Oryctolagus cuniculus: one gene and its partner. The protein of the gene in region 2 purifies or fractionates together with the protein of the main gene of each other region. This does not show direct contact. Links are inferred from orthologs where the notes say so. Each region holds a gene or a part of one and is shown on either strand. Other genes may lie near its edges.

The links. The genes of interacting proteins can lie anywhere in the genome.
Region 1: the proteins of TCEAL1 (region 2) and KDM3A purify together in Homo sapiens (affinity purification with mass spectrometry; 3 studies listed by BioGRID and IntAct, counting the BioPlex papers as one, with this or other methods). This does not show direct contact. The link is inferred for Oryctolagus cuniculus from reciprocal best matches to the Homo sapiens genes TCEAL1 and KDM3A.

What each region holds. Positions count from the first base shown.
Region 1 is NC_091433.1:116,320,321-116,324,602, forward strand, and holds the start of KDM3A (lysine-specific demethylase 3A), read right to left. Parts: upstream 2,868-4,282; 5' UTR 2,747-2,867; exon of another isoform or gene 2,702-2,746; intron 2,197-2,701; 5' UTR 2,167-2,196; coding exon 1,981-2,166; intron 1-1,980. UniProt on the Homo sapiens protein: Histone demethylase that specifically demethylates 'Lys-9' of histone H3, thereby playing a central role in histone code.
Region 2 is NC_091453.1:89,818,089-89,822,033, reverse strand, and holds TCEAL1 (transcription elongation factor A protein-like 1), read left to right. Parts: upstream 1-1,373; 5' UTR 1,374-1,575; coding exon 1,576-1,632; intron 1,633-2,234; coding exon 2,235-2,747; 3' UTR 2,748-3,323; downstream 3,324-3,945.

The DNA.
Region 1 (4,282 bases), on a different chromosome or scaffold from region 2:
ATTTTACCTGGCAGGTGAAATAAACCACAACGATTGAAATCTGGTACACAAAGTTCACTTTCTGTAGGAAAGTTACTAGCCTAAAGCAAATAGGTTGGCTATCCTTGCACAATGTATTATCTTTATAAACATCACAACCTGAGTTGGTAGAATGAGTGGAAGGAGGAGAAAAGCCAAATCTCAAAGCTTCCAAGAGTCCTTTTGTAGCATGGCTTTTGATGATAAGCATTATGGAGTGTAACTTCTTGGTTAGAACACAGGCTATGGAGCCAGCACTATGGCATAGCAGGTAAAGCCACCACCTGTGGTGCCAGCATCTCATATGGGCACTGGTTTGAGTCCCAGCTGCTCCACTTCTTCTGATCCAGCTCCCTGCTGATGTGCCTGGGAAAGCAGTGGAAGATGGCCCAAGTGCTTGGGCCTCTGCACTCACGTGGGAGACCCCAAAGAAGCTTCTGGCTTCAGATCGGCCCCAGCTCCTGTCATTGCAGTCATCTGGGGAGTGAACCAGCAGGAGGAAGATCTCTCTGTCTCTCCCTCTCTCTGGAACTCTTTCAAATGAATAAATAAATCCTTTAAAAAAATGTATTAAAGAACACAGGCTATGTCAACTCCCAGGTATGTGACCATGGACAAGATCCTTCCCCAAGCATGATGCACTGCTCTGTAAAATGGGGCAACATCAGTGCCTACTGCCAAAGCACTGCTCCAAGAATGAAGCAGTCACCACTTGACAGCACGCTGGGCACGACGCCTAGCACGTGGCCAAACACTCACGGGTCACACCTACTTCTCAACATGACAGGGCACACAACGGAAACTCAACAACACACCTACAGCCACGCAGCCCTTTGCAGACTAATGGTGGTGTGGGAACGCACTGGCACCCTGAAAACACCAGAAGTGGCAATGTCTCAGAAATCGACCCACGCTCAGCACCAACACTAAAACCTGCTTCCTTCATCGGGAGCACAGTTCTCCAGGAGGAGCCAGGCCAGACACAGAACCACGCGCGTTACTCAGGGTGGAGAGAGCTTCGGTCCCCATAAGCTTCCCTCAAGTTACCACCACTTCGGAGTCTTTGTTAGGGATCTTTTTTCAGTTATTTTTGCACAAAGGAGTCTTTGTTGGTACAATGGCTTTCCCACTGGTTGTTCCCAGACAATCCTTTCACACCAACACTTCTATTAGAGAGTCCAATCAGGATTCATCCCACTTTGGAAAAAAAAAAAAAAAGCCCGACAAAGGTTCCAAGTGTCATTCTGATTTTACAAATCACTGTCCACACTTGTTCCCATTCCCCTCCCTCCTCCCTTCCCCCCAGCGCCAGGAGTGGAAGCCATTCCTCCAGGACACCATATAAGGGGCGGCTCCACCCCGGGCCTCCTTATATGGTCACATCCCACACCCACCCACAGGCTCATCACACACAACCAGGAACCCACTCCTGCCTGACCCACCGTACAGGGACACAAACGCACCCCACGGGCCAGGCTCAACTAAGCTCCTCCCTCCCTCCACGATCACACACTATTAACAGGTCTGCAGGTGAGAGACGGGGAGAGAGAGGGAGAGAGAGGGAGAGATGGAGATGGGGGGAGAGAAAAGTTGGAGGAGGAAATCCAGCGCGCACACACACAAACCCACGTGAAAGCACTTCCAATCACGAACCCTCGATCCGGAACGACTCCCGACGTCAGCCACCCGCCCGAGGACCCTCCCTCCCCTCGGCCAGCCCCGAGGGGCGCAGCGCCGGCGTTAATGAGGCGTGTCTCAACCACCCTCGGCCCACGATCACACGCGCGCAGCCAGAACTCCGGGGCCGAGCGCACCTCACTCCACGCAGCCACCGCGAAGACCCTCAGGGTCTGCTTGACCGCCCCCTCCCATCGGAGGCCAACTTTCGGGCCGCCGGGTGCAGGAGCGGGCTGGCGGCGGCGTTGCCACGGCAACCGCGGACCGTCCGGCCGCCGGCTTTACCTTCAGGTCCTTCTTGGTCACGTCGGTGTGCGAGACAGCGCGAATGGTCCCGGACAGCCAGGGCCACTCGGCGACGCGCTCCACGTCCCAGCTGTCGGGGCCGCCCTCGCTGCCCTCGGCCGCGGACAGGCTGAGGAATCGCTTCCCCACCAAGACCGGCCAACTTTCTCCGAGCGTGAGCACCATGGTTTCCACGCCTGCAGGAAGGGCGCCTCCCTGCACACACACAAAAAAATACACATATACACACACACACACACAAAATGCAGCGGGGGCGGCCTGGGAGAGTCGGGGGCGCGGGGCAGCCGTCCCAACCCCGCGCCGGGGACGCGCGACCCCGGGCGGGCCTCGCAACCGACCCCTCCTCCGCCAGCGCCTCCCTGCCCCCCGCCCCGCTGCCACCCCCACCGCACACCCCGGCCCAGGCGCCGCGTGACCCTCGCTCTCCCAAGTTTCGCTTTTCCAAAAAGCCTCCAGCCTAAACGCAGGGGGAGCACCGGGAGAATTATCTGCGGCTCGGCGGCTATTCAGCCGCTGGTCCCCGAGCCCGGAAGAGGTGAGGAGGCCCCCTAGTGCAGAGGGCCTCTCCCCGCAGCGGGGTCCCCGCCCCGGGCGGCCCGCGAAGCCGCACTTGTCCCGCCGCCCCGCCCCGGCTTCCCGGCCTCGCCCGGGCCTGCAACGCGGCCGCTGGACCCGCGGGGCCGCGGCCCGGCGCCTTCACCTTTTCTCCCTTCTCTCCCCGCAGCCGAGGCCGCGGCGCGCTTACCCCGCCTCCCGCCTCCCTGAGTCACCGGCGGCGGCCGCCGTTTCCAGCCGCCCAGCCGACTCTCGCTCTGACTTGGTTCAAGAGCTCTCACAAGACACGCACAGCCTCTCGGGCCCGCCCCCGCGGAGCCGCTGCCGCCGCTCATTGGCGGAGGCCTGGGAGCTGGGCGGGGCTCCTAGGGAGACGGCCCATCGCCATTGGCCAGCCCGACGGGGGCGGGGCGAGAGAAAAAAACAATTCCTTGGCTGCCTCCTCCCTCTCCCCTCCCCCTTCCGACTCTCGGGCGACCCCCATTAGGTTAAAGTACACAGAGTAAGCGAGAGATCCCTCCGCCACAGGGCCATTCTTTCCATTTGTTGCCTCGCGGCACGCAAAAGAGTCCCGCAAAATCGGGCATCAACTTTGGGGCCCGGAGGAAAATTGTTGTGGCGCACAAATAAGACTGAACGGCCAGGCTCAGGGCTGTAAATGCCTATTGGATTGCTCAAGTGCGCAGGCTGTCGACCGAAAATGGACCTTCCACTTGGCGGAAGAATCTCACAGGAAAGGGCTGAGGGCGGTGCAGCGTCGGCGGGGGAGGGAAGGGAAGGGAACGTGCGGTTTCAGGCGTACTCAGCTGGAGGGCGGAGCCACAGTGCTCGGGAGGCTGGTGCGCAGGCGCCTCTCGGAGCCGAAGCTGGAGCGGGGGCTGCTGGGTGAAATGGCCGCGGGAGGCGCAGGCGCACGTGGTGCTGATCGTGGAACGTCCAAAGGCCGCCATTTTGAAGCTAAATGAAGCAAGGCGTGGAGCCTAAGGGAAATGACGTTCGTTGAATCTGGAGGAAAAGAGGTAGTTCAGCACAACGCAGAATGGAGGCTTTTTAATGTGAGGAGAAGATGAGAAGATTTTCTGAGGCTTACAAAACAATGGAAAGTGAATGGAGGCCATAGTTACACAAGATATGAAAGTGGAAGTGAATTTGAAGGACAAAGGAGATTAAAAATGTGCTTTGACTCTGGAGTTTCTTCTCTAGTGGAGAAGAAAAAATAAAGAAATTGAAGACCTTTTTATAAAGGCTGATGCTTTAAGTGACATCACATTTAATCTTTAAGAGAATGAATGGAAAACCAATGCTCCCCATTACAGTGGTGAATCAGAAAACGTTCATAAATGTATTTAAGAAATCGGATGCAAAGTAATTCCAGGTGTTGTTTTAAATACGTATGTTCTTTATGTGCGACCTTTGAGTTTTTCAAGTTAAGAATAACAGTGATTAAAATGAATTTTGAAAATTTGGGTGATAGAAGAGTGGAACAAAGAAAATGTAGTCCAATAAAAGGCAAAAGAGAAGAGCAAAAGAAACAACAAATGCTTCTCTCGGTAGGGTGATATCCTGATAAATTCATCATAGTTTGAAAATATAACTGGAAAATGTGCTAAATACAGCAGACCTAACCCATAAACATTACTTAAGGGGATTCTCTAGACTGTAGAGAATCAGTTGTTTACCTTCATGATCTCATGACTGACGGGGAGATGCTGTTGATGCCCCACAT
Region 2 (3,945 bases):
ATATTTTTTAAAAAGAAGTGGAAATAAAAATAGTTAATTGATTTTGTGCAGTGTTTCTACCATCCTAGTAAAAAATAAATACATACTTGTGTATAAGCTACAAAATATAAAATATAGGGGCCAGGGCTGTGGCATAGTGGGTAAAAGTTACTGCCTGTGCTGCTGGTATCTCATATGGGTACCAGTTCTAATCGCACCTGCTCCATTTCCCATCCAGCTCTCTGCTATGGCCTGGCCCTCCCAGGCACATTAGCAGGGAGCTGGATGGGAAGTGGAACAGCTGGGACTCAGCCGACACCCATATGGGATGCCAGTGTGCAGATGGTGGCTTTACCCACTACACCACAGTGCTGGCCCCATGCAGCTATCTTTTGAAGGCCAGGAGTTCTAGGACCTAAATATTTGTTGATTTAATGAATTAATATAAACTTTCGTAACCACAAGTACCAAGAAGTGACCGGATAAGGATTTTGGAGACCTAATAAAATCTATTTCTTCTATTATGAATAGCAACTATTGAATAATGGTATATAAATGTATATATAAAGTATTCATTATATATATATACACTTATTTGTATACATACACATACATACATATATACATATGTCTGTCTATATCGATAGAGCGAGAGTGAGAATGACAGAGCCAGAGAGAGAAATGCCATGCTTTGCTTTCCTCAAGGAGTCTCTCATTTTGGATAACACCTAAGATTTCTGGACTATTTATACATGGACAAATGTATTTGTGGTTTATGAATATCATTTTTTTCAGATTTATATACTTTACAAACTGAACTTTTTCTACGCGTCTACAACTAAATGACTATTAATTTAGCCTTGAGTTTCTATTCGTGACATAGGTCTGGGGGCTGAAAAACAAAAACAAAATACTGACGTCAAAGAAAAGTGAATGAGTTTCTCCCATGAAAATGACAAAAGCGGAAAAGGTGTCGAGAGATCCGAAATGGAAACGATGGAGTTAAAGACGTCGATGAAAACCGGGAGTGCTGGGATAGGAGGGGATGATATTGATTCGCGACGGCCAGGAAGTCAAATGTCAGTGCAGGATTTGAACTGCAGGGGCAATCAGGGGCTGCCGTGATGGGGAAGGGAGGGTGGGGGAGAGAGCTGGTATCCGGGGAAGCAGCAGAGAGGAAGAGGCAGGCAGTTTCCATACTAGGTGCTGACATCTCCGGCAAGCAGAAAAAGGCGCACACGGAGAGGTGAGAGACAATGCTGGGTGTGTTTGGGGTCAGATTCAAGCAGGTTGCTGTGCACGGCCGCCGGTCAAAGTGGTAACGGGGGATCTGAGCTCGGCAGTGACGCGCGGCCCTCACGTGACCAGGAGCCTGTGTCTGCCAAGTCCCTCTCGTCCTGGTCCTTTCTGCCTGTCCAGACACCGTCTTAGTACCCTTTGGTCGAGAGGGAAAGCAGAAGGAAGTAAGTTCTCTCGATCCTCTCCAATCGGCGGTCGGTGCTGCCTTGGATCCCCGGAATCAGTTAGGGATGGCAGCGCCCAGGCCTCTTCCCTCTGCTCCAGCCCCGCCCCCGCGCCCACATTTTGGTGCAGAAAATGGTGGTCTTGAGGGGGTGGGGTAGGAAGGTGACGGAGAGCCCGCCTGGGAGGAAGGTATAGACCCTTGGAAATCGTTTTCTAAGTAACCGCTTGCTTCCATTTCCCGCCCGAGAAAAAATGACAAGCTTTGTGAGGTGGGGGCGCGGAGAACGAAGCGGGATAGAGGGTGTCTGGGAGGGGAGGAGAGCCTGAAGGGGGCTGGCATGGGGGCGGCGGCTGGCGCCCAGAACTGGGGGTGTGTGTCGCTCAGGCTGTCCCTCCTCCCCGCCCCCAACCCTGTGTGGCGTCTGTTTGCGGGGCACTGAGGGGGCACCTCGAGGAGGGTGCGTCTAGGAGCATACGTCCCTGAAAGGTCCATGTCCGTGAAGGGCTGGGCAGCGGGCCGGGGCCGCGGTGCCAGGGCGCCAGGGCGCCAGGGCGATCGCCAAACGCAACGGCCTCTGAGGTCCCCGCTGTCCCGCCCCTCTCACTGCGGGAGCGGCCTGTGGCAAGGCCTGCTGGGAAAATGGTGGGCTTGCGGGAAGGAAGGGCGGCCGAGAAGCGCGCGTGTGAGGACCTGGCCCCCAGTCAGGGCGAGGCCGGTATTGCAGCCCTGGCTGGGGTGTTGCTGCTGCCCCAAGGATCCTGACACTGCCCTGCTTTGCTTGTCTCCTAAGAATAACCGCTCGGATCAGAATATTCTCAGCATGGAAAATCCATGCCAAGAAAATGAAGAACAGCCGCGGAGCGCGCCGAGGCCCGACGAGGAGGAGCCTCCAGTGGAGCAAGCTCCCGAGAAGCAGGGGCCTGAGGAGGAGCCCTCTTCGGAGGAGCAATCCTCGGAGGAGGAGTTCTTCCCCGAGGAGCTGCTGCCCGAGCTCCTGCCCGAGATGCTGTTGTGTGCGGAGCGCCCCCGGCAGGAACGCCTTTCCAGCAAGGACCTGTTTGAGGAGCGCCCTCCCATGGAGCAGCCTCCTTGTGGAGTAGGCAAACATAAGCTCGAAGAGGGAAGTTTCAAAGAAAGGCTGGCCCGCTCTCGCCCGCAGTTTAGAGGGGACATTCATGGCAGAAACTTAAGCAATGAGGAGATGATACAAGCAGCCGATGAGATGGAAGAGATGAAAAGAGTGAGAAACAAACTGATGATAATGCATTGGAAGGCGAAACGCAGCCGTCCTTATCCAATTTAATGTATTCTGTCTTTAATTCTGTTTTGCCTGGAAACAGTGTTGCCACCGGAACTTTCTGTCTGCATTTTCTTACATGTCTTTTTCCCCATCTTCCTAATTTTAACTTTTTTTTCTTTTTTGACGCAGCTTTAATTTAGGTGCTTGGCTCCTAACTGGCATAAAATTGTTGTTGCTTTTTTTTTTCCTCCCTGAGATCTGAGCTCCATCTATTTGCATGGAAAGATGTACATGACATATTGTGAAGTGAAAAAAGCAATTTTCAAGAGTTATATATAATATCCATTTTTGTAAAAAAGTCCTGTATATTTATATATTAATATGCAAAGAGAAAATGAAAAGTATGGACTTCAAAAGCTTACCATGGCCATCTGTGTGGTGAGATAAGTGATTTTAATTTTTAAATGTGTTGATCTATCTGAATCTCATTTTTTTTCCAAATGAACACATTCTGCTTGTGTCACAGAAAAAGAAAAACCAGTATAATGAAAAGTGAAGCTATTTTGAAAATTACCTAATCAGCTCATAATGACAATGTGGCACTTAATAAATACTTGTTGGAATTTTAAAAGAGCAAAAGTGAATGCTATGTTTTCTCTGACTCTCTTAGTCAAAAATATAAACCAAAACATTAATATATTTCTTCCATCTAATACCTTCCTTATAGTGCTGCTGCAGAAACAAATGAGATTTGAAAAAAATGTGTGAACTGTCTTTTATTCTGCCATCTACACATGCAGGACCCCAACCCCTATACATTCTGTACAAACTTAGGGGATCATACCCAAGGAGATCTCACTTGTGTTTAGCAACCGTTCCCGTGGTGACATTCCAGACCAGAGCCACATTCTGGTCCTGCCCTGCTGTACTCAGATCTAGCCACACCTGCTAGACCCAGCTGCTCCTCTCACTGGCCCTGGTCACTGGGGACGTGCTGCAGTCCTCGAGGTGTGAAGCCTCACTGTTCTGCACTGTGTGATGGGCCACCGTTGAACTGGGTCTCTACAGATATACAGTAAATGTCCCCCTTACAGCTTTAATACTATAGTTATCCAGCCAGGCACCGACCGTGCCATTGCTGCTTAGACCTCTATGTCTCTAAACAACACTTAGAAACATAGTCCTTTCCGTTTCTTTCCCTTAAGTCCTCCCTTTTCTCCACTGAACTTAGGAGTTCAGTGAGACCTGGGCCAGGAGACAG